Linked DNA regions of Caenorhabditis elegans. The protein of the gene in region 3 purifies or fractionates together with the protein of the main gene of each other region. This does not show direct contact. Each region holds a gene or a part of one and is shown on either strand. Other genes may lie near its edges. The genes, in order: gly-13, T27F6.6, tofu-4 and fbxa-12.

Region 1 (7,659 bases), on a different chromosome or scaffold from region 3:
ATGAAGACAACCATGAATCGTCATCGAGCGGATGCGATAATCAGATGTATGTTTTGACCTTTTCGAACTTTTTTTTGCTTCAGAAAAAAAAAACATAGAAAAAAGCATGATCGAATCAAATGAATCAACTGGAAACAACCAAAGATCATTGCTCAAGCTACTCTGATTCAATTTTGTTCTGATTTTCAGTGAATTCCTTGTATCAGAAGCCGAGCAACGACGACGGAGAGTAAACCATCTGGACACTGAAGTACACGGTCTTGGCTATGATCCATTTTCATATTGTGGACGAAGGGTTCATGTTTTGGTAAGTAAAGGAACCCAGTAAACATGAAAGATGACGATCACACATCAAGCAAACACGGAATCCTTGTTTATTGGCAAGGAATTTAGAGAGGGGATCATCTGAAAAATGCTTTTATTATTATTTATTTGTATTTACAATTGTTTGCAGCTACTCACCAAGTTGATTAGCGTGTTGACGATACCCTTCTATGTCGCCATCATCATCTTCATCTCTTTTTTTGGGAACGCAACTTCGGTGATGTTTTCTGTGATTATTCTAGGTGAGGGAGAATTTGTCAAAAAATTTGTTTACATTTCTACATTTCCTGATTATTTTCTGAGCGAATTTTTTTGAACATCAATCAGCGATACAACACTCAAAAAATCTTTTCAAAATCTTACAAATTCAAAAACTAATCCAGCCAATGTATTTATTCAGGGTCCGTATTAATTTCAACGTGTTACGGAGCATTTCGTGGAGCTAAAATGTGCCTTATACCATTTGTGATAATACAAGTGAGTTTTGAACTGCATATTTTGACAGGCTTACCTGAATATTGCAGCTTGTATTTTTAATATACGACTTAATATTAATTACAATTCTATTACTGGCTGTAGTGTTTCCGAAGATGTTTCTGTCAGCCCTTTTAAGGTTGCCACTTGAGGATATCCCGTTCGGGACGGACCAAGGTTTGTTTTTGGCGTTTTTTCTTTATCCTTATTATAAGAAAACGTTAGATATTTTTGCAAAAGCTAGACCTTCAAATGGCTGTGTTTTTTTTAATGATGACCAACTTTTTTAGATTTATTTATTTTGAAAGTTTGATTTCTAAGTCTAATAATCAAACCAGTTATAGAATAGTTATTCACGTGTTCACTGAGGTTTAACTATCAAAACCATTTAGGGCTAGAGCTATAACACAAATATAACTGGTTCATGATACGTAAAAATTAGTTAAATTATGCTAAAATTCAGAAAAGTGTATCCGTAGAATTACATTTTTTTTGTCTGGGATGTCTGGGATAATTGATGTCATAGGTTCACACTATAACACTGGATAGTTATTTCCAATTCATATATATTTACAAAAAAACCTTCTAAAGATGATATTCAGTTTAATAATTTATTTTTCAGTACTCCTCGGCTGCAGTCTTCTTTTAGCTTTGCTTCTTGCCCCTTTAGTTTGGACTACTCATGTTGTTTATATCGATTTTCTGTTTATTTCACAGGTTGATGAAACTTTACACATGTTAAAGGAGGTAAACGCTATCACTTCGGGCTCACCGCTTCACACACTCACCCACTTTACAGGCCAACCAAAAAGTTTCGCAAGATGACGTGTCACCTAACCGTATGATGTTTTAGCGTAGAGATACCACACTCACCAAAAACTCACCAGCCACATGGTTTCCGCCTACTTCTACCATTTTTTTCGACTACTTCTAATCATAATTTTTGCGTGATCTTCTCCAAGCTCTCTGTGTTAGTAAGCACTTTCACACGTTTTCTTCCATTTTTTGAAATTCGGGTTTCTGTGTTCTTGACGAGTGTCTAGCATGTTGCTGTTACACCATTACTTGTCCGCTTTCTTGTATTTTTCTATTGTTCATTGAAATAAAACAATTTCTAATAAATTTCTATTGATTATTTCAGTGTTTGTTTCAAAACGCTCACTCGTTTATTCATTGCAAAAAAAAACTATTTTTCCGTGGAATGTAACATATTGGAAAGAAAAAGATTGATAATCAATTACAATACCCCTAAAATAACAACCAACGTAGCAAATAAAACGTGCAATTGCTGAGAAAAGATATGAATTTCGTAGGGCAATCACATCTCGAAACAAGGTAATAATTTTCACATCAAATTACTAGCTGCAAATGTCAGATTCACTGGAAAGAGTTGAACAAAATAATAGGAATGCAGGCCAGAGTCGACTAGATTCGGTAAGAATGAAACCCGTGAAATATAAAGTTTAAACATTATCAAAGCCACAAAACTACTCTCCAAACGACGGCGGAACCGACCAATCTGGATTATATGCTGACACTTTTGTTCTGTCAGGTACCAAGTAAATACGAATTCCGTTTATAAAACAAGTGACTATTCCATCATATGCAGTACGTGGGACACCAGCTTTGAAATCGTGCATTATATGAAGTTTGTCAGCTTTCCGGATGTAGTCAATATTGCCATCGTACATCACTCTGAAACATACTACAGTTAATTAATGTGTTTAATACAGTATGTATGTTGATAAAATAAGAGATAAGTTGCACAAAATTTGCAAACATCTCTGTCAAAAAGTTAAAAAAAACTAATGACACGAAGCCAGCAAACAATTCTTAAAATCATTTTTCAGAAGTTTTCAAGATGTTGGACTACAACGCATTGCTATTCGGTCTTCTCATCCGTTTGGATAATAATGTTCACTAACTAACAATGTTAAAGGATTAAAGCAATGTTTTTTAGTACTTTCAAAAAAAAAATTGAATGGTTTCTCTTCATTTTAGTTCGGTTTTACTTTCATCGTTGATTCGATTCTTCTTCAAAAAAAAAAAAGATTCCACCAACGTTTTCTTATGACTCATGATCCTCGTTTGTCAATTCAAGGCCCATTTTAAAAGTGCGTTACTCCTACCTGACACTTTTTCCTTTGTTCTCCGAGCTCAATACAAAAGAAGCCACATTATCTATGCTCAGCTCAACGGCTTCCTTCATGACTTCCAAATTTGTTTTCTTCGCGAAATTGGCCTGAAACAGGAAAACTGGGCAGTTTTATGCAAACTGGGAAACCACTCACAGGCAACAAATAATCCAAGTCAATCTTCCCAAAGTTGATGTACTTATCGTTGACTTTTATCTTTGCCAAATGCTTGCTGAAGAACTGGCCTCTGTAAACAGATTTATGAGACTTTTAATTGTAGAAATCTCATACTTGCTGGCGCCTTCTTTTCCATAAGACATCATCCCTGTCCTACTGATTTCAGGTCGGATGCATTGACGATCTTTACGCCGTGCAGGGTCTCGCATCCAGTCATCCCAAAATCCTACAGGCCAAATTGGTTCTAGTTCATGCCACGTTTTCCTGAAAATATAAAAAAATCACAGCTCAAAATTAGCATAAACATTTTGCAGAAATTAAAATCGTAATTTTTGAAATTGTAAGTTCGGTTCTCTGGAAAAAAGTGTTAAGCCTTTCGAAAATGTTACAGATTTCGACAGACAAAATAGTTTCGAAAAATTCTTATAACTCCCTAGTTTCATTATTCTCAGAAAAACATGATATTTCTGTAATAATGACTGATGAGTAAAAATAATTTTCCGAAACTCACGAAGACATCATCCAGCCAAGTCCTGCAAAGAAGTCACTTCTGTACAACGTAGAAGCCGCAGTCATGTCAATATTCTCTTGCTGAAAAAACATATTTTCAGCAACAGTCAATTAAATTTAAGATTGTATTATTCACTTTTCCATTGTCGTTCCAGGCAGTGACGCACCACAATTTCTCATCGTTTTCCAGCAAATATCGCGTACTTGAGAAGTACGAGAAGAAGTCTGGCGAAATGTCGAGATCGTCTGTAATTTTAGTTTATCTAAAATGAAATCAAATGATCACCTTGCCTTCTGTAATAATGACTGATGAGTAGCCCTTATCAACAAAAACGTGATTGAGCGCCAATTTGTAATGACGTGCTATGCGGTAATAAGCGGTGTACTGTCGGTGACTGGGTGGAATTGTGATATTCGCTTTATCGCCGGCCAAATGCTGAAATTATATGAAATTGAGATTGCAGACAGAGATTTTTGAAATCTACCTTAATGTACTCCACTTTGTCTCCAAACTTCTTCACTTCGTTCTTCACATTTTCATTATCACAGTCTTGGGTAACAATGATTGGGAACTTCTCCTGACTTGGTCGGTACCTGGAAACATACTTAATAAAAATTATTGCAAAAATAACTATGGAAAGGTACCTGATAAGTTTCTCAACATGGTCTCTCACTGCCATCGCACGATTACAGGAGAAAACCTGGAAAGAACTCAATTATTTTGAAAAGAAACTCCGAATCTGCATACCAAAACCGGAATGGGGTCTTTCCATTGCTTCAAATCTTGAGAAACCTGAAATTTTGAAATGGTACATTTTTTATTAAAAATTTTTTTATAAATTTGGAGTTCGCAGTTACTCTCGAAGATCATTGAAACCCCTGTTAGCATCAATTCAGTTTCACATGGCAAAAATAGATTTATTGTAACTCTGAATTCAGTTTTGAAATTTCAAAATTTAAACCCTTACCATTTCTTCCATTATCACATGTTTTCCCTTCCTGTTTGCCCTTATTTTGTGCACATCTTCCGCCAACGCAGCAATCTTCTTTGCCTCAAACTTCAATAACCGCTCCAATCTATTCGCTGATTCCAGTAAATCATCAATATTATCCGTATTTCTGGTTCTCTAAAGCTTGGTTTTTATATATTTTTCGAATTAAATAAAAACTTACATTTGTTATATCATTTTCTACGTAGAGCGTCCATAAAATAAATACAAATATGAAAATGATAAAGATTTTTGTCACCGCATGCATGATTTTAGGTGGAAATATGTACACATCCGCCTGAAAATTATTAATAAAAATATACCTTTTAATATTTGAAAAATACAAATAAATATTGCAAAAAAAAAACCACGGAAAAACAATAAATGTTAATAATATTTGGTTAATAAACCGCAGTTTGACGTGGTTTCGGTGAGACTCCTCCCCCATGCAACCCGCCGCATGGTGTTTTGCCACTATGCCGCACACAACTGGGTGACACGCTATTTATTGAGGACGCAAAACCCCACCGCTAATCCCGTAGTTTATGCAGTATTTTGCAAGATTTCGATATGGTGCATGTAATTGCTTTGTAAAAGTATAAATCGCTGATTTTACATTAGTCTGATTCTTGAATTTTATTTTCGAAAAAGAAGCAAAATAAAAAAATTGTGAAAGATCGTAAAATTATTGTGAATTATTCGTATTCAAGTTCAAATGTTGGCGAATAGGAGCGTGTCTGAAAAAATTATTGAATTTAGCTGAAAGTAAAGTTCTATTAAAGCTTATTTAAACTTTATTTGACTTACACAGTTGGAGCCTTCGGAAGCGGAATTCTCCAGATTCCCGTTTTGAAGACAGTTTCAGTGTTGCGACTGCAGTTATGGAATACAACCATTTGGAGTTCAAAATTACGCTGAAATTTTTTTTGGAATTCTTATCAAATATTGTTTATAGTTTAAAAAAAATTTCCAGCATTTTAGTATTATTGCCTACGTAACAGCTTAACTGATATATGTATTTTACTGTGATTTAACACTGACAAAAAATATGAGAATCATGGAAAATAAAATAAACTGTGGAATAATGTTATTGATATGAAGGAACTATTAAATAAATAAAAATTTAAACTCCAACGTTTACGCATGTTTGCCAAAAATTGAATCACTATTTTTACTTGCTTCTAATCATTTGACTTGTTACCAATTCAATTTTTAAAACCTACGTCCAGAAGTCCATCATTTTCTTGCACTCCTCCAATATCGTAAGTTTGAGTAACTTCATTTGAACAAAAATCAACTGAGGCAACTCCGTCGTCGACTCTAAAATGTGTTTGTAATACATAGAAGATTTACATTTAAATTTAAATTTAAATTTTTTTTCTAAATTTAAATTTTTACCATGGAAAATAATTTCTCTCAATGTATGCAACATTTGCTAATCTGATAAAACTCACAATGTATCAACTTCTATAACACGAATTCTTACACACCATGGGGCGTTACTTTTGCAATACACAGTTCCAGTAAATTGAAACTTATTTTCATAGCTAAGAACTCCAATGCATAAACAAGAGATAATAGCTGTTGAAAGATTCATCATTTCTTAATCTGTAATGTCAAACAATAAAAAAAATAAAAACAATTTGTGAGCGAGAAGAAGTGGTCTTTCTCGTAATTGATATTGTCGATTCAAGAGAACTTGTTCTCAAGTAGCTATGACCCAGCCTTGCCAATGGAAATGACGGTCACTAATAGCATCGTTGCAAGATCAAAAATTACGTTTCATTTCGAAAAATTAAATGATGAGAGATCTCGTGACATTTTTGTTTTGTAATTGGAGTGTTGAAATAGTGTATAGCAGAAAACTATCATTGAAATACATATATTTTCAGTCAAACCATGAAGAATCGGGAGAAAAGACAAGTCCAATATCATGTTTCTAATGGTTAACAGACCGAAATAAAAATTACTATTGCGCAGGGCTAATGTGAGACAATTTTTTGGTTTGAAAAACTCAAACTGTTGCCAATTTGCTTGGCTGCCCAATAGATTTTCCAGCCTTGGGTTGCGCCAGTAGGAAAAATTACTTTTAGCTAAAATGACTGCATGCAATAAAAACGTTGGCAAATCCTTTTTTTAGTCTTGTTTCAGTCAAAAAATGTGAACTTCTCGGTTTTTGCAACACATACTTTGTAAATCAACCAAATCCCAAAACCGTCTGACATTCTATGTCGTTAGTAGATTTTATTGAAGATATCATAATTATTGGTGTTCAGTTTTAAATGGTTGGAGACTTTTCAAATAAAACTTATCAAATATCGGGGTCGCACGCTTTTTTGCCGCAAAAGAATAAATGTGAAAAATACAGTTTTTATTAAACCTTTATGTTCATTTTTCCGGCACAGATTTCAAACCGTGAATATCGACCAAACACGTGGTAAGACCTAAAACAAGTGTTTTCGATTTCTGCAACAGTTTTCGTTTATTTCAGTATTTTGCACACCGATTTTTGATCAACGATTTCAATTCACAGGTTAGTTTCAATTTGTTCGCATCCATAACCAGCTTGATGTCACTTCCCTGTCCACTTTATCCATTGAAATACTTCCGACTTTCAACAACTACTGGTTGCAAGGCTGAAACAAACAAAAGAGGGAGTGAAAACGCCCATTACAATTATTGGTTTTACGTGAAAATATGATGGATCGAAATACGATAATGGGTATTGTGCCTGTGAATGGAAATTGGTTTTTTCCCAAAACCTGAAACCTGAAATTAAGACATGGGTCAAAGGGGCGGTGCTTTCTATTTGCAGGATTTGAATGGTTGTATTACTTTTGATCTCTTTTTAAAATTTCATTTATTTTATAGAGATTTTGAAATTCAAATTCAAAATCTTGTAAAAGAAGTTTAGCTTCATCCCAACACTTCTGAATGCCGTTCAGTGTAACGAAGTTTTCTCTAATCTTCGTTGCACTTCTCCTTGCTGAGGCTCTTGGTTAGTGAATTAGGGTTATTATTCTAGAAATGCTCTTGTAGGAATTTATTAT
Region 2 (7,996 bases), 7.7 Mb from region 3:
CTGCAAAAATTTTGAATTTTTTGGATTTTCAGGACGAATTTTGCTTAAAAACTGGAAAAATAACTCAAAAATTTGAATTTTGCGCCGACCGCATGTTGCAAGCGCGCTCTATTGCGAAAACTACCAGATTTGTCGATAGAGCGCGCTTACTGCATCCGATCGAAAGTTTTTTTAGGTTTTCGAAATAAATTTGTGATCAATTTTCAAAAAATCGAATTTCAACTTTCATGAGAAAATTGTTTGAATTTTCGTAACATTTCACGATTTGTAGAGATTTCGTGCTAGAAAATCAAATTTCACGCCTGATGCAAGTCTGCTCTATTGAGAAATGCCCCAGAAATTTCGAATTTGAAGGAAAAATTCCAGTTTTCCAGCCGATCGCTGGCAAGCGCGCTCTATTGAGAGATATGCCGAAAACTTAAATTTTCGGCGAAAAAATCAACAGAACCTGAGATTATTATCGTTTTTGTGCAAAATTTTGGCCAAGATCTTTATAATAGACTCAAAAATTTAAATTTCGCGCCGATCGCATGCTGAAAGTGCGCTCCAACGACAAAAGTGCCGGAAATTTAATTTTTCATTAATTTTCCATACCAACAGTGCCCGCATCGAAACCTCGGCCATGATCATCCCATCGGAATTCGAACAAGAACATTGCAAACGAGAAGAGCGAGCAGCTGAGCCCAAAGCCAGCGGCAATGGCGGCCGCCCGTGTCGCATGTGTAAAAAACGCGCGGTATTCCGGAGCGTCGTCGTCAAAATGTGCCACGTGGCAGAGCGTGGGTGGCGGCCGTTCGTCCACTTCGTCACCGGGCAGTCCGAATCGCGAGTAGGTGACCTGGGCGTTCTCCGATCGACGTTTCAACCATCCCAACATTCGATCCATTGTGTTTCTGCAGAAAAATCAGCTAGAAAGGAGTTTATGGCCTAACTTCTTTTCAAGTTGGTGGACTAGATTTACGACAACCGAAATTTGAATTTTTCACAAAAATCTGTCAAAAATGGCGAATTTTGACCAAAAATTCGCCAAAAACCATCATTCCAAACAGTGGTGGCCTAATCTTCAGGTAGATTTTTCTAGTCCCCGCAGTTTTCTGGCAGTGGCCTGACTTTATTAATCAATAAAAATATGAAAATCGCATGAAAACGATTCAAATTCACAGAAAAAATTAGAGAAAAATCAAAATATATAATAAAATTCTTCATTTCAACAGGAAAATTAGCAAAAAAAAACTATATCACAGAAAAAAATCGATAAAACGGTTGAGAAACTAGATGCCCTTAATAATAAAGCTGTACAAATTCGAATTTTGGCGGGAAATTTGAATTTTTGGGTTAAAAATTGCAATTTTCAGCGTTTAATTATTCAAAATCTGCTGAATCGCCTGTTTTGCGGCCTTCAAAGCCTTCCGTTCCAACGTTAAGCCAATAAGTCCTTGCCAAACGAAGAAAACTCCAACGACAGTCAGTGCAAAGCGTAAAACGGCGAATCCCATCGGAAAAACTTCGAAAAATAGGCTTCCGAGGATTAAAATCAGACAAATTACCGCCAAAATGAAGAAAAAGATGCGATCCGTGCGTGCGCGACGTTCTCCGCCTGAAAAAATGCAAAAAATTGGGGAAAAATCGGCTATTTTCAGTTGGTGGCCGAACTTTTCATTTGGTGGCCTAGTTTTTAAAAAACTTGATTTTTATGGACTTTTTAGTTTTACGAACATGAAATAAATTTTTTAATGTCAAAAAAAAAGAAAAAAAGTAGAAAACCACAAAATTTGAGCCGGTGGCCTAACTTTTTTTCTTGGAGGGACTAGTTTCCAAATATTCTAGGCCTCGAGTACAAAATAAGATTTTTTAAACCAATTCTCGCATTTTTTTGCACAGAAACATGTGTTTTTCCCAGGAAAACTACGGAAAAGAGTTCGACCACCAATTTCCACTCGGTGGCCTAACTTTTCTACACGATGGCCTAGTTTTTCAAAAATTCTAGGCCACGAGTGCAAAATCTGTGTTCTTAAACACTACAGAAAAAAGTTCGGCCACCAATTTCCACTCGGTGGCCTAACTTTTCCGCACCTGCAACAAGCCCGATAGCCTCAATAAGCAACGGACGATTCGGTTCCCAAGTGTTAACAGATTTTTCGTGTCGAAAACGATCATCAATCGTGAAACGAGCGCGGAGGCCAACGTGATCCGAATAATTAAGGTCTTCACCGGGAATTTGGTTCAACGTGATCTCACATTCCTCCAATTTTACATTGCACCGCCCGGATTTGAATAGCATATAGTCGATGCGTTTGGAGTCGTCCTGAAATTTGAAAAAAATCGATAAATTATTGATTTTTCCTATTTTTTATTTTTTTTTTGCGTAAAAATTGTGCACATCGATTTTTTGGAGAAAATCTGGTGAAAAACGCTCTAAAATTCAAGGAAATCGGTTCAAATTCAGATTTTTCAGATAAAATACCAAAAAAAATCCCTGATTTTCTCCAATTTTGTGCTGGAAAATTGAATTTCGCGGCGATCACTACATTGCAAGTGCGCACCAATGAGAAAATCGGGGAAAATTCAAATTTTCGTGAAAAATTCACGAATTTTTATGAATTTTTACAATTTTCATAGTATTTTAGGCTATAAAATCCAAATTTTAGCAATTTTTATCCTAAATTTTCGAATTTTCGAGTAAAATTCACGATTTTTTCAATTTTCAGCGAATTTTTCAAATTCGCACCACATTTTTCAGCGCCCGCTTCGTATAACAATTGTCTGGTCGATCACACGTTCCGCCTTTTGCAATTCCTCGAAATTTGAGTAGTTCTCCTTCGGAATCCTCATTTTCCACTTCGTGGCTCATTCGCCACGCGTCGAAAAGTTTGGCATGCGACAAAATAAGCCGGAAGCCCAAATCACACGGTTCCATATTCAAATCTCCGGTCACAATGACAACGTCGGCTCCGCGAGCCGTATGGCGGACGAATTGAGCAAGTTCGAATGCCTGAAAAATTAAATTTTGTCAAAAATTGTCTATTTCACTTATTTTCGAGTCACATGCTCGAAAAATTGACTCGAAAAATCAAATTCCCAGCTGCAAATGCGCTCTAATGCATAATTATCAATAGAGCGCACTTGCAAGAAGTCCTATGGATTTTTTGGCGGGAATTTGAATTTTTGAGTTAAAAACTGCGAAATCTTGATGGAAAAATTAATTTTTTGAGTAAAACTTCCTAAAATATTGATTTTTTCTGAATTTTTCGAGTTTTCAAGCACCTGCGCGGTTCTGTGCGGCAAATAGAGATCATTTTCACGATCGTACTCCGCGTGAAGATGTGTTGTGTAGAAATTGACGCGCAAATCGCCGTCAATCTCGATTTCGGTAAGCCCGACAACTTTTCCGCCGAACCAGTCGCCGCGGTGAATGTGATGAGCGAATCCGTTGAGAGAATATCGATTTGTTAAAGTGGATACGATTGGGTGTCTGAAAATATGGAAAAAAATTGGAGAAGATTTGATGAAAATTCGGAAAAATTTTTTTTTTTGGATATTATATTATATTAAATTTTATTAATATTAAAAGGATATTATATTAAACGTAATTTTGTTCAGTTTTATCCTTTTAACCCAAATATTCCACAAATTTCTAAAAATTTAACAAAATGTTTGAAAAAAACCGAAAATTTTTTCAATGTGAACAAGTGGCGCAGTGGGATTTTCGATGGCTACCACCAAACTGAAGACCGGGGTTCGACCCCCCACGGTGGCAACTATTTTTTGTTTTGCAGAAATTAGATTCTAGACGTTGTAAAATGAGCAGGAAACTGTTTTTAGTGAAGGTTTAGAGTTGAGATTTGGATTTTTCGAAAAAAAATTGTCATATTTTCAGAAAAAATTACATGTTTTCAGAAAAAATTTTTAAACTAATTTTGTGGGAATGCTAAGATTTTTAAGTTAAAAAAAAAACTTTTGCAGCGTATGCACAATAAATCAAAAAATGTTGCCTTAGTGGGGACTCGAACCCCGCTCTTCAGATTGGTAGTCGGCGGAAATCCCACTGCGCCATTCGGACAACTTTCGGAAAAAGTAGGATTTTATCGATTTTTTAAATCTTTTTGTAGAAAAAATCACCTAGAAAACACACAGACACCACTGCCAGTGAATCCCGAGTGAAAATAGTGAAAATACGGATAAACCGACGAGACTTGCTCGCTGAGTCGCACAAAATCATAATATGACCAGAGCTCCTGGAGCCCGACAATGTCGTAGAGCTCATCAATCATGTATTGGCCGATTTTATTCAGTCGGTGAACTCGATCCGTAGATCCGATGGGCCAGGGTTGTGGGAGACACCACGCGTTAAGGGTAACCACACGGAGTTGACGAGCAGCCACGTTATCTGCAAAAAATCGATAATTCGGGAGGGAAAATCGTGAAAAATTAGATCCCTGATTGAAAATTAAGCTAAAATACGCGCAAAACTAGCGAAATATCAATATTTTGATTCAGAAATTTGAAATTCCCGCCGATCCTGCTGCAATCGCGCTCCAACGACAGTTTTCTCATTGGAGCGCATTTGCACAGTGCAGTCGGTAGAAAATTCAAATTCTTGGGTGAAAAACTTGAATTTCAGCCGTTTTTTTTCCAATTTTCTCACTTCTTCTCAACGCGGCGAATGATTCCCGGCGGAAAACCGGCTCCATGTCGACTTTCTGACTTTCCTGGGACTCTTGCTCGCTGGATGGCTCCATTAGCCTGGAATATGGGCTTAAATTCGTGTTTTGAAGGGCAAAATAGGTATAAAAAGGTTCGAAAACCTCAAAAAACACTAGAAAGAGTCTAAAAATCACATTTTTTCAGGAAAAAACAAGAAAATCAAAGAAATGTAACAAAAAAACCATAGAAATCTCCTAAAAATCAAATTTTCAACAAAATTCAATGCTGATGAGATCCGAGTTGATCAAGTACTTGATTATGTGCCAAATGACCAGAATCGTGTGCTCCGCCACCTCCATAAAGCGTAGATTGCACAAAAGTCACGAAACGGTCCAAGCTCATTGAGCCCTGAGACATGGGCTCCGCAGACTTGGCGTGTGTCGTGAATACCTCGATGACGGGCTTCTGAAATAGGGGAAAATTGGCTTAAAATTGTGTTTTTTTAGGCTGCAAATGCGCTCCGATGTGAAAATTATCATTGGAGCGCATTTGCAGTAAACGAGCAGCGGAAAATTTGAATTTTTTGCTGAAATTTTCAAATTTTCGCCTATTTTCTCCCGTTTTTTCGTGGAATTTCCGCTTTTTCTTTGCTGAAAAAATGGAATTTTCGACCGTTTTTACCTGCGTAGCAAGACTCCGCTCCGTCTCGTTCGCAATAACGAGAATAAATGGAATTCCGAGTCGATTTGCGTCGTGAATTCGCTTTCCGGCCGACATTTCCACACGATCGTCCAATAAAATGCCTCCTTTTAGATAACGAGAAGCCGACGAGCTCGCCATTTCCACAATCACATTCGACATGAGGCTCTGCAAGGAAAATTGGTTGAAAAATTAATTTTTTAAACATTTTAGAGCAAAAATCGCCAAAAAGCGTCAAAAATCATCTCAGAAATTCACATTTCTTGTCGATCACAGGTTGCAAGTGCGCTCTAATGATATTCTATTCGTTTTTTCTCCAAAAAAATCATTTTCAGTAGGGAAAATCGAAAAAAAAAAATTTAACACGAAAATGGCAGTTTTCTCAATGGAGCGCAGTTGCGTCATGCGGTCGGCGGGAAATTTGAATTTTTGAGTTGAAAACTAAGATTTTATCGAATTTTCTGGATTTCGCAGTGAAAAATCTTGATTTTTCACGATTTTTTAGCGAAAAATTCGATTTTTCTCAATTTTTTCTCCAAAATTGCTCACTTTCTTTACAATAATCACAGCATCGAACGGAGCGATAGCTCTGGGCAGTCGGAGAGCCTTATCACTAACTGATAACAAATCAATTGCCGCCGGAAGAAGCCGTGTTACACCAATTCCAAAACAGCACATATCCAATGGTTTTCCTTGAAATTTGGCTCCGAGAGCTTCTGAATATTTGGTGCCGAGGTGGAATGTGTGCGCAATTTCGACGGATGGGATTTTTTGCACAGTTTTTGATGAATTTTCAGCACATTTTTCACATTTCGCCGGCCCTGGACCTTCGAATTTGTTGTGATTTTTGCAATTTTCGCAGAAATTCACAAAATCCTCCTCCAAACTGCTTTTCAGGTGATATTCATGACTTATATGACCTCCATGTACTCCGGAATCTGCTTCCACCTGAAAAATTTTGGATTTCTGTCGTTGGGGCGCGTTTGCAGCAAAATTTAAGCCTAAAATTCAGATTTCCCGCGGATCGCACGTTGTAGATGCGCTCTATCGACAATTCGCAATAGAGCGCACAAGCGACATGCGGTTGGCGGAAAATTTGAATTTTTGGGTTAAAACTCGAGTTTTCAACGATTTTAGACTAAAAATGAGTCAAAACTTGCCAATTTTAGCTCAAAATTTTGAATTTTTGAGTCTAAAAATCGATTTTTCTACTTTTTTTAAATGAAATTTTCACCTTAATCACATCCTCGTCCAACTGCAAAATCTCTCCAAAAATTCGATCATAAATCTGACGAATCTGTGCATATGTTTGTTGAGATGTCTCCGCATCAGTGGAAAACGAATACATATCCTTCATTAGAAATTGACGCCCACGCATTAATCCGAATCTCGGATTCATTTCATCGCGAAATTTTTCACCGATTTGATAGACAATAAGGGGAAATTGTGATTTTTTGAGCGGTGATAGTGTTGCGATCAGTTCTGTGCACATTTCCTCGGCGGTTGGCTGAAAAAATTGGATTTTTTCGGGCAAAAACCTAAATAATTTGAATTTCTGAGTTAAACTTCGAGTTCTCCGTGCTAAATAACATATATCCTTTTATTTTTAGAGTGTTTGGACGAAATCCCGTTAAATTCGGTGTCAAGTACGCAAACACCAGGCTACAGTAACCCCGGGACACTTGATTTGACGACATTTTGCACTAAAGACCTGACAATTGCGGTCTAGGGGTAATTTGCTATGGGAACTCCGATTTTGAGCTCAGAATTCCGAAGTTTTGACTATTTAGTGGATTTTTTCGGCAAAAAGTGAATTTTTGGCCCAAAAGTTTGGCTCGTAAGTCAAAAGTCTGAAAATCTGAGTTTAAATTCGGATTCCACGTGGTAAATAATCCCTATTTTGACTTTTTCAATGTTTTTGTGCAAAATCCCGTCAAATTCGGTGCCAGGCACGCAAACACCATGCTACAGTAACCCCGGGACACCGGATTTTGCGACATATTGCACTAAAACTCAAAATTTTGAAAATCTGAGTTCAAATTTGGATTCTACAGTGCAAATAACCTCAAATCCAGCATTTTCAGGTTTTTGTGCAAAATCCCGTCAAATTCGGTGCCAGGCACGCAAACACCATGCTACAGTAACCCCGGGACACCGAATTTTACGACATATTGCACTAAAGAACTGAAAATTGGGATGAAGGGGTAATTTGCTACGAGAAATCCGATTTTGAGCTCAGAATTTAGGAATTTAGAGTTGTTTCATCAATTTTTCCCCATTTCCAACTGCTCACCCACTTGAAGGCACATATGATTCTGCTGTCGGTCGTGAAATCGAATCATTTCCGGTCCCATCGCCTCCCATCTGCCAGTTTTTTCCCATAATTGCTGTGTTCCGACGATCGGCATCGCGATTTTCAGAGCTCCCGAGTTCTGAAATTCCACGTCGAGAATTCGGCACAACTTGTCGATTACACGTTGTCCGAGGGGCAGGAGACTGCAAAAATTCGCATAAATTTTGATTTTTTGTGAAATTTGAAGCTCAGAATCGGATTCTACGTGGAAAAATACTCTTAAATCATAATTTTGAGAGTTTTAGTGCAAAATGTCGTCAAATCGGATGTCCCGGGGTTACTGTAGCCTAGTGTTTGCGT
Region 3 (6,091 bases):
ATACCGCAAAAAATCGGGAAAAAATTAGTCAAAGTACGAATAATCCATAGATTTAACAAAAATATATCGTGAATTCATAAAAGTATGACACTTCAGTTTAAAGGCACATGTTGTTTTACTGAGTGAGTCTCGCCACGATCCCTGCACAGGGATCCCTACAGGTTCCAAATTTTATAGAGACTTCATATGATGTAGATAATGAAGTCTAGAAAGTTTTAAATTCTAAAGTTCTATGCTCTTTTAATTTAAAAAATTTCCAGAATAATCACAAAACTTGTACGAGCCGATGTCAAATACCAAGCTGAAACTGATCTTCTGAAAGAAGATCATTCACACGGAAAATCGATTGCTCGTCGAAAGAAGTACGTGCTAATGATTGGAAGTGTCATTTTGGTATATTCAGTATATCTAACCACTTATGCAGTTATTCAAGGAATGCATCTTGTTAATATCACTAGGTATTTTTTAAATATCAAATCTTAAATAATAAACACGAATTCATTTTTTTCAGCAGAAGCAAAGGAATTCCAGTTCATGCCAGAAGTGGATACATTTTCACAAAATACACGTGTTATTTGTTCATCTCATTTCATTCACTTCTTCAGCCACTTTGTTTCATGAGAATGCGGGAATTTAGAAATATTCTGAAAAGGTATCGTAATTTCACAAGATTTTGACATGCCTACTTGAAGGCGCACGGATTAATTCAAATGGGTCTCGGCGCGCAAAAGTTTATGGTAGGCTTTTTGCGGCTCTTTTAATTTTTAACAGAAAAATGACAAAATTCGCTATATATGTAATAATTTCATCGAAAATGCAAGGAAGACAGCGGCGAAAATTTAAAAAAAACCACCATAAACTTTTGCGGGTCGAGACCCATCTGAAGAAACATATGCGCCTTTAAGAAGGCATGTGAATAAATACACGACATGTCGCGACATAACGAGAACACAAAATTCTGAGAATGCGTATTGCGCAAAATATCTCGTAGCAAAAACTACAGTAATTCTCTAAATTATTACTGTAGTGCTTGTGTCGATTTATGGGCTCGAATTTCGAAATGAATTTCTGTTCGAATTGTGACAGCGATTTCAACTTTCTTTACAATTAGTTTTTTCGTATCATTAGTTTTTTTGATTTTTTGCTCAATTTCAATATCTATAAATAATTTATTTCAAAACTCGGGCCCGTAAATCGGCACAATCACTACAGTAGTCATTTAAAGAATTACTGTAGTTTTCGCGACGAGATATTTTGCGCTTCAAATATGTTGCGCGTTTCTCAGAACTTTGTGTTTCCGTAATAACTAAAAATGCAATGAAACCACTGAAGAAGTTAAATCTTCAATTTTTCAGAACTATTTTCCCCTGCCTAACAAAAACCGATCCGATCTTGACAACGGATGTATTCAAGCGTCACAGTCAACCGACTGATATTTAATAACTTATTTCTTCCATCTCCATTAATGTTTTGTATCAAATTTTTCTGGTCGCTCCCAAGAATCTCATCGCTATTTTTCTATGAAACTTGATTTTCAAAATTTAAAAAAAGTTTTATTAAAAAAAAAAACATCTTACTAGAAAAGAAACAAAGAACGTATATAAAGTGTCGAACGATTGCGAAAAAGCTAAATATTACAGAAAATGTTTGGTCAAATACGGGAAAAAACGATAGATTATATTCTCACGATATAAATAAATTTGAGATTTGAGATTCTCAAACAACAGCTAGATGCTCTAAAATTTGAAACAAACAGAGAATAATTAAAACAATAATGTGACTCGGATAAAAATTCTTTTAGAATTCTGCGTCTACCATCAGATAGTCGAAGTCTTCTTCCTCCTTTATGGTTCCCTCGTCGCATTGACTAGTCAGGTCAGGAAGGCTGTACTGATCAATAGTCGACGGCTGCTCCGATGTACTTTCCACGTTTGTGTAGTCGATTGGAACATCTACATGTCCGAGCGATTTCTGCTTAATCCTTTCGCGAATTTCCTTCATCAGTTTGGAGTCTCTTTCCTGCTTTTTTGAATTTGCGACATTATTCAGGAACTTGATGGAAGACTCGTGAGCATTGAATGTGGATTGGAAGAAGACGAGATGGCTGAAAAATATTCTTAATCAATATATATGGTTTTAAAATACTCACGTAAATGGTTCCTGCCATAATAATTCGTCCGGATATTTGATGTCGTTCTTGTCAATAAATCCTGAATGTTGATTTTGAATTGAAGATCGACTGTATCCATGAACGGACTTTGGAGCACTGAAAACATAATATTTATTCATGATATTTCTCTTAACAATTACTTGTAGCTCGCGATCTTCTCCGAAAAAGGGTTCATATTTAGTTCGACGGCCTGTGCCACTTGCTCTTTAGAGTTTCTTGTTTGGTAGAAAGAAAATGAATGCGAAATAATATCCGCTTCATCCTCATCGGAATTGATTTCGTCTCTTTTTGTTGATCTGATTCCGATACCCATCCTTCTCATTGCTTTCCAATCGACTTCAGGATCGTCTTGTTTGATGTCACTTGTCAAAGACTGAAAAATTATTGCAAATATTTAAATTATAAATTCTTACACACCTTCAGAGTCAATCCTTGCTCAGCAAAAGTGTCACAGGTGTAATCATCTGCAAGTTCCAGGTCCGGTCTCTTGATGCGACGTCTTTTAGGGACTCCTTGAGGTCTGGTCTGCAAGAAATCATTTCTAAATTTCAACAACTAGCATTAAAATCCCACCATTTTTCTTCTATACAGTCGCCTTCTTCGTTGCTTCGGCATCGCTTGTGGTTCGTACTCACAAACCACGTCTTCAGTGTCTGAGACTTCCCCATCTAACGCTTTCTTTTTCTTTTTGAGAATCCTGTCGTTCTTCAACCCACGAGCAATTTTCTGCTCTAATTCTCGGACAATCTTAAAGAAGTTAAATCGATAAAAATTTTTTAAAAGGCAGCATACGCGTTCATCCGGTCGCTCGCCTTCGGAACTTTCTGCAGCATCCACCATCGAACTCTTGTGAGTCTCCACAACGTATTCATCATCACTCTCCTCGTCGCTGCTGCTACTGTGATCATCGTCGTATTCATTTTCTGAAAAACTCTTGTTGTCAGTGCCATCTGCCGATGCGGGCGGTACTTCGATCTCCAACGGATCCTCTACAATTTCTGTTTCAGGAATTCGTGATTTCTTCTCGGGCTGGTTCACTCCCGAAGATTCCGCATTTGCTCTTTTTGATGCGCTTCTCGTCGTCGGTTTCATCTGAAATTAATGTCTCATTATTAAATATAGAAGCTTAAAAACACAATAAATGAATAAGTAAAAAACGTTTATTTAAATTTTAAGTGCTTTCATCTGTTCTTTGCACATTTCAAAGCGGTTTCTAGACTCAAAATACATAGAGATATGCTCAGATTTTAATAAACTACAATTTTAAAACTTCAAAATATGAGAAATTCTCTTGAAAGTGCATTTTAAGTAGAAAATGAACGGAAAAAAATTGAAATATAAAAGAAAAAACTTAAAGGTGCATGACATTTCTTCCATGGGTCTCGACACGAGAACACAACATGTTGACCTGAGTTACGGTAAACTTCGGTTGAAATTAGTTATTTTATGTCAAATTATTCATTTATTTTTCAGTTTTTTCTCATTTTCAATTAGTTTTTAATTAAAAAAAATGTTTTAAAATATTTTAAGTGTCAAAATGGACGAAAGCTTCGACTCTTCTGTTGTCCCTGGCTCTCTGACGAGTGATGACAGGGTGAGTAGATTTGACAGAGTTTTTTTTGTCGAGAAAACGAAAATTTTCAGGCTATATTCAACGAGCAAACATTGAAAAATGGTGATGAAAATTCGAAAAGCTCTCTTGAAGTGATGGCCAACTGCGTTTATCTTGCAAACTCAACAATTCTCCGTGAACGGAAAGTTATTCCTGCGGAATACTTCCAGGATTTTCAAGTTTATGGTGAGGTTTTATCTATCTGACTTGCAATTAAGCATGAATTATTTTATAGGAGATGTCAGCGGATATACTTTGCGACAAGACATTCCAGAAGGACGGAGTGTGTCTTCGAAGCTTTTGGCGTCTCATGACGCGATCCGTCAGAAACTCCTTCAGGTACAGTTTTACTCTCGTAAGTGGTAAAAATTCATTGTTTGCAGAAACTCGCTATTGTCGTTGAAGAGTCACTAAACACGAATCCCGTGGAAACGTTTGTCTGGACCTTTGTCTATGACTCAACCACATCTGCAAGTGCCGAAATCGGATACGGAGGGTTAGATCATTTATCTAAATATAAATTTCACTGACTCTTTTCCAGGCGTAAATCTAAATTTGTGGTGAATTATTTAAACATGGATGATACTGCTCAACAGTTTTGCAAGATGTTCAGCGAGCTTAGAAATGTTCTAAGCCTGCTCCGTCCGCTACCAAGAGGCCTCATTCCATCGATGAAAGTAGCATACAGAGGAGGTAAGGTTAAAAATATTTAATTTAAATCATAAATAAATTATTGTTTTAGAACCGGAATTCGTTCCCGGATTTCAACAAGTCGACGATTTTGTGAATCCTGAGCAGATCAATCTTGGTGCTGTTAGTTTTCCTCACGGCAATGGGTTTGTTCGTCATTTCAATCATCAAATTCTTAATTAAATTGATTCAGATTTCAATTCGCATATGCCTCGAAATTCATGGTTGAACAGCCTTCAGCCATTCGTCCACCAGTGGAAGTTTCTCATTTTGAAGATGATTTGCTCAACTCAACGATCACACCGATCGAAGTTGTTCGAGATAACACAATGAATTGTGCTGAGAATCCTGAACTTGACGAAATCTATTTTTCACCAGGTGCGTTTTGTCGAGAAAAAAAATTAATTTTCTAATGTTTATAGGTCGTCAAGAAGTACGTATGGACGAAGATGTGGCAAACGAATCAATTCGTTGTAATCCAAGTATGGCCAGTGAAATGATGGTTCTGCAGTCCGAATATAATGTATTGATTGCTGATAATGATGAAGTTCCAATGGTTGTTGAAAGGGAACGTTCTCCAATAGTGAAAGCTGCAAAGAAACGTTCAACGAGAGCTCCCGCTGTCCCGATAACTCCAACGGAACCGGCTTCTCCCGTGGAGTCCCCGGTGAAAGAGCAACCTCAAAAAGCGCCAAAAGCTCAGATGAGACGTTCCAGTAAACGCACCACGAAGAACAATGAACGATGCGAACAGAAAGAAGAAGAACCAATAGTGAACCCAAAAAGGGTAATTATTTTTATTGTTATAATAAAAATGTTAAGTTCAATAATTTACAGAGAAGTGCTCGTCGGCTTGTACCTCCAGTTGAAGTCGATGAACAGCCAGAAGAACAAAATGATGATGATGCTCAGAATTCTCTTCAAATTGACTCTGATGCTCAGAATTCTCTTCAAATTGACTCTGATGCTATTATCACCTCTCCCGAGAAGAGAAATGAATCAAAGTCTGCAATACCTGAGGAAGCTGCGGATCTAGATAATACTACATCTGAGAAGCAGGAGAGCTCAACAGCAAGATATGGCGTTTCAAATACTTCTATTAACAGGAAAAAACCAGACCCAGTTGCAAATCCGGTTTCGGAAGAGGCTCAGGTAGATTTGGCGAACGGTAGTATCCCGGATAAAAGACCACGGAAGAGAAAATATGGACGAGTGTCGAGTATTCTCGACGTCGCTGATCTGCCAACTGACGATACAGTGGAGGAAGACGTTCGTGAAAGTCCCATCTACGGTCGTGTACCAAGTATATTGGATGTAGCAAGGGCTGAGGAGAACGATGCTCAAAATGATGCTCAAGATGCTCAAAATGAAATTGCTGTTGAGGGACTTGCCGACTTATCAATTGACACCGAGCAGCATGAAGAAGCAGCTCCAATTAATGTTACTGGTCATCAATCGGAGAGCGTTCCAATCATTGTGACGGAGCATCAGTCTGAAGAAGCTCAAACGGTTGTCACGGAGCAACCAGCAGGAGCAGCTTCAGTTATTGCTGCGGAGAGACACTACGGCCGAGTTTCGAGTATTCTCGATGTAGCTGGTTCGTTCGCTGACGTAGATCC
Region 4 (7,505 bases), on a different chromosome or scaffold from region 3:
ATGTAAATTTATTCAATTTATTGTTGCAGAATTTTTGTTTCGAAAAACACAAGAAATTCCATTACAGATGTTTGAAAATAAAATAAAAAGGAATTAGCATTTTCTAATTTCAACCATCAAATGTGAAGCATTATTATAACGACGAAGTTTGAAATTAGCTCCACTGCTTGTAAACTCAATATCCATTTCATCACCAATAGTAAAATCTGGTTGAAACAATCTTGCAAATTCGATCAGATTTCCAGGGTCAAACCAAATAATGCAACGCCGGAAACTACTTCTTTTCAAGAGGTCCTGAAAGTTGCAACTTACTACATATATCTGTGGTGTATGATATATATGATGTGCCTATATATTTATGACTCCATATATATATATAGTATATATATATATATATATATATATATATATATATTTCTATATATATATATATTTATATAAATATATATATACAGATAATTTTTTCCACGGGAATTGACGGGAATTCAAATTTTCTGATAATGAGAAAAAAAACTATCACAGTTGCAACTTACATCTCGAATTTTAATTGCGTCTTCTTGTGGAAATTGAACAATCGTTGTACAGAACTCTTCGAAATGAAAGAAATGATCAATTGCTGTCAGGTAACAATTTGTAACACCATAATACGTGGATCGGAAGCTTTTTGCACATTTCCACTGATCCAGCAAAGTGATCCTTTCAAAATCAAGAACCTTGCCAATGAGCAAACAATTAATATCGTCCAGCACGTCCGCTTCAAAACACGGCAATATTGAAAGAATTTCGTTGAATGTTAGGTATAGAAGATTTATTTTCTTCACGTGAACGCTTCCTCCGTTCTCCAAAACATTCACAAGAGATTTGAGAACCTCGTTTTTATTTCTTGTAAAGTTTTGCAGAACAAATGAAGATGCATGGTTCATTGCTATTTTCAGGTCCTTGAATGCCAACTCCATGAAATCTTTTTCTTGGATAATAGTCTTCCGTCCTTTGTAGATCACAGCTGAATCAGTGTATTCCAGTTCAATCTTATCAAACCGTATTGAAAGGGTTTCGCTCATAACGTCCAGCTTGATGGTGTCAAAACGGATTCCAAGCTTGTCAAGGGCGGCTCTCAAGCTTCGACAGACTTTACGGCAGGTTAGTCTGGAATTTAAATAGTTTTTGATTTAACACTGCAAGTAAAGTTTTAAGTCTAAGCCTACCATTTTAGCTCCGCCTATTTTTCAGCCAATTAACGTTTAGCTCCGCCTATTTCTCAGCCAATCAACGTTTAACTCCGCCTATTTTTCAGCGAATCAACGTTTAGCTCCGCCTATTCCTCAGCCAATCGACGTCTCAGCCAATCAACGTTTTGCTCCGCCTATTTTTCAGCGAATCAACGTTTAGCTCCGCCTATTCCTCAGCCAATCGACGTCTCAGCCAATCAGCAATTAGCTCTGCCTATTTCTCAGCCAATTAACGTTTATCTCCGCCTATTTCTCAGCCAATCAACGTTTAAATCCGCCTATATCTCAGCCAATCAACGTTTAACTCCGCCTATTTTTCAGCGAATCAACGTTTAGCTCCGCCTATTCCTCAGCCAATCGACGTTTAGCTCCGCCTATTTCTCAGCCAATCAGCAATTAGCTCTGCCTATTTCTCAGCCAATTAACGTTTATCTCCGCCTATTTCTCAGCCAATCAACGTTTAAATCCGCCTATATCTCAGCCAATCAACGTTTAACTCCGCCTATTTTTCAGCGAATCAACGTTTAGCTCCGCCTATTCCTCAGCCAATCGACGTTTAGCTCCGCCTATTTCTCAGCCAATCAGCAATTAGCTCTGCCTATTTCTCAGCCAATTAACGTTTATCTCCGCCTATTTCTCAGCCAATCAACGTTTAGATCCGCCTATATCTCAGCCAATCAACGTTTAGCTCCGCCTATTTCTCAGCCAATCAACGTTTAGCTCCGCCTATTTCTCAGCCAATCAACGTTTATCTCCGCCTATTTCTCAGCCAATCAACGTTTAGATCCGCCTATATCTCAGCCAATCAACGTTTAGCTCCGCCTATTTCTCAGCCAATCAACGTTTAGCTCCGCCTATTTCTCAGCCAATCAACGTTTAGCTCCGCCCACTTTTCAACCAATCAGCATTTAGCTGCACCCAATTCTTAACCATTCAGCGGAGGAAAGCAGCCCCTTCTGATTGGCCAGAAGTTGCTCAACATCATAGTTTTTTTCGTAGTTTTTAAGAGTTTCGAGATTATTCTGTATATTTTGAAATTTGAAAATGAAAAATTCGCATTGCTGTTAAAATGCAAAAAAACTTACCGTTCAATGGGCTCCAGCTTTTCAAAACATGATTGGCAATTTCCAACGGCAATTCTAGTAAAGTAGGCATTTTCGAAAGTTTCTTTTTTCAAGTAAAAACCTGAAGTTTTCAGTGTAAAATTTGAAGAAATTGGGAAGTTTCGAGTAAAATGAAATTATACCAATGTGTGACTGTTATCAGTTTAAATATTTTTTCGGGAAAAACGGATGGAGTCATACTTTTTTTACGGAGGAAATGTTTAAATACCATGCGTCATTGGAGTTTGTATAATAGAGAGAGTGAATAGACGTTTTTGGTTCATTTTTACGTTTGAATTTACATATAACTCCAGTAAAATGTCCAAGTTATCGCCAACTTTGCTCACTATCAGTATGCCTTTGGAAATTTCTGATGAAATTTTGTCAAAATTGCCTGCAATGGATCTGTAAGTTGAAGTTATAATTTCACAAATTTTTCCAAATGAAAGTCAAACTTTATGCTAAAAAATTTGAATTTCCCGCCAAAATGTTCAAAAAACATTTAATTTGAATTTCGCGCCACAAATTTTTAAAAATGTTGATATTAACGGTGCGTCAAAATTTATTTGTTCAATAACAAAATTAAATTTTATGCCAAAATTGTTTGGAATATTAAAATGTTTTAAAAATTTTAAATTTATTTTTGTACCCAAATTTTTTAAATATTGATTTTGGCGCCAAAATTTTTATTCTTTAAAAAATTGAATTTCGTGCCAAAAATGTTTGAAAAATTAAAATTTGAATATATATTTTTTTAAGATTAAAAACGTTTTTTTTTTTGAGAAATTTAAATTTGAATTTGGCGCCAAAATGTTTAAAAAATTAAAATTTGAATTTTCCGCCAAATAATTTTAAAAAATTGAATTTGAATTCAAATTCAAAATTTTGGAAAATTTTAAAATTGAATTTGGTTCCTAATTTTTTTATGATAAAAATTTGAAATGTGCTCCAAAATATTTTAAAAAGTTCAATTTGAATTTTCTGCCAAATATTGTTGGGAAATTAAAATTTGAATTCCGTGCCAAAAATTTAAGTTTTTTTCATGATTATATCTGATCTTTTCGGTACCAAATAAGTGTTTCCAGCTCAAAGGAGTCTTAAAATCTTTTTAGTAAAAATGCAATGTTCCAGACTATCCTGCCGTAAAGTGTGCAAAAGTCTGAGAAGCGCCGTTGACCAATCAGGAAACCATCTCAACAGAATCTCATTTGACATTTGTAATGATTTCGTTGCGATGGACTTAAACGGAAGTCAAATCAAATATACCGATGTTTCTGGTACTGCATACGTGACTTACAAAGGACGAGAAACAAAAATCGAAGAAGACAATTTCATGCGAGCAGCGTTCAACGACTTGGCGAGCGTATTGAAAAACGTGAAGAAGTTCGTTTTTCAGAACTATTCGAAAGTAAAACAACAAGCCATCACATCGTCGATAAATGATATGTTGGAAAATAAATGTATAGCCGTAGAGTCAGTAGTACTATACAACTTCCCACATGATGATATTTTGAACATCATTTCGAGTTGTCAAGCTGAAGTGCTCAAAGATATTGTATTATGGCACCGCGACGGAGTCGAGTTATCTGAAAGAATCACTTGTCTGGACCAATGGAAAAAAGCACGAACTTTGCATTGTCGGTTTTTGTTTTGTGATCTAGTACCAATTGAGCACTTTTTTCACTTTGAAGAGTTCAGTATTCAAATTGACAATCTCTCAATGCCAAATGCGATTAAAATTCGAGATGTGAGTTTTTCTGATTTTCACATGTATGTGGTATATAGTAGTAGTAGTAGTAGTAGTAATCAAGGGTGTCGGTTTTTCGTTTTTCGGTTTTTTGAAAATCGAAAAATCGAAAAATTTCGTTTTTCGTTTTTTCGATTTTTCGATTTTTTTTTTTTTTTTCAGAAATTAGCTTCATATTTTAGCCATTATTCTTCTTTTTAGAAGAAATGTGTATGTTTTATTATAAATTCAAGCAAAATTAGATTTAAAAAATCATATTTTAAGGATAATTTTCCGAAAATCTTTTTCGATTTTTCGATTTTCCAGAGAATCGAAAAATCGAAAAATTTTCGATTTTTCGGTTTCTGAAAATCGAAAAATCGAAAATTTTCGTTTTTCGATTTTCAATTTTTCGATTTTTCGATTTTTCGATTTTCACTGAAAAAAATTAAAAAATCGAAAAAATCGAAAAATCTAAAAATCGAAAAATGACACCCTTGGTAGTAATAGTGTGTAGTAGTATATAATTTGTATGTAGTATGTATGTATGTAGCATGTATTTATGTAGTATGTAGCATGTATATATGTAGTATGTAGTATGTAGTATGTATGTATCTAGTATGTAGTATTAGTAGCAGTAGTAGTAGTAGTATATAGTATGTATGTAACATGTATGTATGCAACATGTATGTATGTAGTATGTATGTATATAGTATGTATGTATGAAGTAGTGGTGTGTATGTATGCATGAATAACCTAATGAAATTTCTCGAAACCTTCTGAAAAAAGTTGCGGTGGTTTAAAAAATTACCGAAATTTGAAATTTGACCGACTTGTCAAGCACTAACTTTTATGAAATTACCATATAGCTATCTTAAGTTTTAACTTGATTTAGATACATTTAAAGTCGACGGATCACCAGATTTCGTAAATTTAAGTAAACCGAAATCAAGTCAAGACATCTTACTTGTATACCCAAATTTTTTTCAGGACCTCATGAACAAAACTACATTCAAGACCTGCACTATTTCAACTCACCATAATGTGCAATCAATTGAACTTGCAAGAATATTTCAACCGGACTATATGGGCGACATTGACTATAACATCAAATATTCTAATAACACTGGCACCTTCGAAATTTCTTTCAAATCATCACTTACTATTAGAGCACGGTTTGTTATTAAAAAATGCTGACAACAAAGGGATCTTGTTTCTATATTTTCCAAACGACCAAAATTATTCATATGTGCATTAAAAAAGTTTAATAAAAAACATGCTTCATTTTTGAAAAAAAAGCCCATTAATAATTTTTCAAGCAACACTGTTCACTGCTGAAACTCTTGTAGCCCAACTACCATCAGCAGACGGCTTCCGCACGAAGAAAGCCCGAACAGCGTTCCTGTACGGTGTAATGAAGTAAATTTGAAAAATTGGATCCAAGAAGCAAGGAAGTGCTCCTAGACAGGTTATTGTGTACTGAGAGATCAGGAATTGATGGCCTAAAGGTGATATATACAAATTATATTGGTTTGATAAGCTTCCCTTACCAGTGACTTGAATCAGAATAAATAAAAACACTACGGGGATATAACTAAGCATCGGCAGAAAGATTTGAAAGTTCAGGCCCTGGAAACCAAATTAAGCTATATAACAAAAGCTTACGCCTACAATAATCATTTTCCGAAACATAACACGTGTAGCGTCCGATGTGTTTGGGGATACATGAGGTTTAAGAAGCTTCATCGCCTGATGCTTCCAGTAGCTGCCGATCATTGGAAAATACAACGTGACAAGGAACATAGCCACTGTAGAATTATCGAGATAAACTTTTTGAGCTTGGCTGAACCCTCCAAAATTCAGATACGGAGTGTAGTCATACTCAGGGTAATGGGCTAGCGTTTCATTGTAGACTGCCAGATGGTCGGAGGGAGGAATCAAGGTAGAAGTCTGTAATAATATGGATTGGCTAGCTTTGTACGACGTCTAGCTACCAGATAGGCTATTATGAACAGGTAATGCCAAGAAAAAATCAAGGTGTTACGGCCAATTTCCTGGGCGTTGATCAACTTCAGACATACGGTGCGATAGTAGAGAGTGTGCAAGTTGATCAAGTTCACTGTTAGTACAGAAGTCTGGAAATTTGGAGGACAAGAGGGCCTACAGGGCTTGAAAGAGGATATCTCACCGCATATGCTTTATAGCACGTCGCACAAAACGTTGGCCCGAGAAACTTACAAAACCCATCACACAGCAACCCCATGGAATTCTCATTATCAATATTTCTTTAAAAAATTTAACTTAAAGGTGGAGTAGCGCCAGTGGGGAAATTGTGAAAAACCACTTATTTGATCCCAAAATGACCAAATATCATGATAAAACTTTTCAAAAAATTTTTGAAATTTTTTTATTTACTGTCAAAAAGTGGCAATTACTCAGTTTTTGCCACTCATAATTTTGGAAGTCGAGAAAATTTTGGCAATTTGCAATTTGACCGGAAATTATGAAAAATCTAAAATTTTTTGGAGTGTTTTATGATGATATTCGGTTGTTTTGGATCATTATAAGTGCATTTAGACAAAATCCCCACTGGCACTACTCCACCTTTAAAACCGCACAATCTCAGATTCTCGCAAACCTCGTTTGTGTTCCAAACGCCAATGTTAAAGAAACAAATGTAGCCGTACATGAAGCGTAGAGAAAATATCTCATGGCTTTTAAGACGTTGGTGGTAAAGTTGTAGATCAAAATGTACATGGTTGAAAACAGGCATAAGCTGAGTAGGTAGAACGGTGGCCAGTAGAAGCGGAACAAGTATTGGAGAATGTCCATTTCCAAAAAGTTGGGTTATGAGAATTTGAGCTGGAGATGATTTTTAAAGAGAAGCGAACCGAAAAACCGCATGCATCAGCAACCACGAACTCAAGTTTTTGCTAATGAAAACGATTCTTGATTTTTCGGGCGTTTGATCTTCGAAGTCATGTGTTGATTACAAACTTTTAAAGAAAAAATGGGTTATGGATTTAAATCAGCTACAGGAATTTTAAACATATTATATTTTCTGAAATTTAAAGATGGAGTAGCGCCACTGGGAAAATTATTAAAAACCACTCCTTTGGTCCTAAAATGACCAAATATCAAAAGCTCGTATTTTTCAAAATTTTGGCAATTTGCCAAAAACTTTGACCGGAAACTATGAAAAATCTAAAATTTTTTGGAGTGTTTTATTATGATATTCGGTTGTTTTGGATCACTATAAGTGCATTTAGACAAAATCCCCATTGGCGCTACTCCACCTTTAAAGGAAAAGTTTTTGATATTTTTTCAGCAAAATTATTGGTTTTTTCTTTGAGATGTAACAGTTTCCAAGTGAAAAAACACCAAGTTTACTTCAATTTTTCAAGTTCCCAGCCAAAAATCATAGATTTTAAATAGGTTTTTGATATG

The links.
Region 1: the proteins of tofu-4 (region 3) and gly-13 fractionate together in Caenorhabditis elegans (co-fractionation; one large-scale study listed by BioGRID). This does not show direct contact.
Region 2: the proteins of tofu-4 (region 3) and T27F6.6 fractionate together in Caenorhabditis elegans (co-fractionation; one large-scale study listed by BioGRID). This does not show direct contact.
Region 4: the proteins of tofu-4 (region 3) and fbxa-12 fractionate together in Caenorhabditis elegans (co-fractionation; one large-scale study listed by BioGRID). This does not show direct contact.

The regions. Positions count from the first base shown.
Region 1 is NC_003284.9:9,291,716-9,299,374, forward strand, and holds gly-13 (Putative alpha-1,3-mannosyl-glycoprotein 2-beta-N-acetylglucosaminyltransferase), read right to left. Parts: upstream 4,908-7,659; 5' UTR 4,878-4,907; coding exon 4,794-4,877; intron 4,748-4,793; coding exon 4,589-4,747; intron 4,414-4,588; coding exon 4,369-4,413; intron 4,322-4,368; coding exon 4,266-4,321; intron 4,215-4,265; coding exon 4,106-4,214; intron 4,057-4,105; coding exon 3,912-4,056; intron 3,867-3,911; coding exon 3,757-3,866; intron 3,702-3,756; coding exon 3,622-3,701; intron 3,375-3,621; coding exon 3,225-3,374; intron 3,181-3,224; coding exon 3,090-3,180; intron 3,041-3,089; coding exon 2,928-3,040; intron 2,494-2,927; coding exon 2,286-2,493; 3' UTR 1,942-2,285; downstream 1-1,941. Other genes in the region: B0416.3 (uncharacterized protein), read left to right, coding at 1-46, 190-307, 455-566, 725-801, 849-975, 1,421-1,545, 1,598-1,651; B0416.7 (uncharacterized protein), read right to left, coding at 5,295-5,346, 5,417-5,523, 5,833-5,929, 6,064-6,206; B0416.2 (uncharacterized protein), read left to right, coding at 7,544-7,607.
Region 2 is NC_003279.8:12,487,723-12,495,718, reverse strand, and holds T27F6.6 (Putative neutral sphingomyelinase), read right to left. Parts: upstream 4,744-7,996; 5' UTR 4,740-4,743; coding exon 4,646-4,739; intron 4,388-4,645; coding exon 4,120-4,387; intron 3,473-4,119; coding exon 3,265-3,472; intron 2,993-3,264; coding exon 2,729-2,992; intron 2,306-2,728; coding exon 2,074-2,305; intron 1,598-2,073; coding exon 1,359-1,597; 3' UTR 1,189-1,358; downstream 1-1,188. Other genes in the region: T27F6.7 (uncharacterized protein), read right to left, coding at 595-886; pars-2 (putative proline--tRNA ligase, mitochondrial), read right to left, coding at 4,924-5,109, 5,326-5,511, 5,893-6,291, 6,578-6,850, 7,641-7,839. UniProt on the Caenorhabditis elegans protein: Catalyzes the hydrolysis of sphingomyelin producing a ceramide (N-acyl-sphingoid base) and a phosphocholine. C.elegans contain specific sphingoid bases, which are unique or different in structure compared to the sphingoid bases found in other animals.
Region 3 is NC_003279.8:4,823,372-4,829,462, forward strand, and holds tofu-4 (Twenty One u-rna (21U-RNA) biogenesis Fouled Up), read right to left. Parts: upstream 3,269-6,091; 5' UTR 3,263-3,268; coding exon 2,963-3,262; intron 2,918-2,962; coding exon 2,744-2,917; intron 2,696-2,743; coding exon 2,588-2,695; intron 2,544-2,587; coding exon 2,311-2,543; intron 2,267-2,310; coding exon 2,150-2,266; intron 2,105-2,149; coding exon 1,798-2,104; 3' UTR 1,533-1,797; downstream 1-1,532. Other genes in the region: F57C9.6 (G-protein coupled receptors family 1 profile domain-containing protein), read left to right, coding at 261-458, 512-652, 1,356-1,440; htp-3 (HORMA domain-containing protein), read left to right, coding at 3,708-3,764, 3,815-3,968, 4,018-4,121, 4,166-4,278, 4,324-4,475, 4,525-4,618, 4,666-4,850, 4,895-5,259 and 1 more.
Region 4 is NC_003281.10:2,217,111-2,224,615, forward strand, and holds fbxa-12 (F-box domain-containing protein), read left to right. Parts: upstream 1-2,597; 5' UTR 2,598-2,686; coding exon 2,687-2,739; intron 2,740-3,463; coding exon 3,464-4,079; intron 4,080-5,048; coding exon 5,049-5,255; 3' UTR 5,256-5,331; downstream 5,332-7,505. Other genes in the region: srd-65 (Serpentine Receptor, class D (Delta)), read right to left, coding at 5,373-5,560, 5,609-5,687, 5,730-6,008, 6,053-6,193, 6,247-6,343, 6,697-6,890.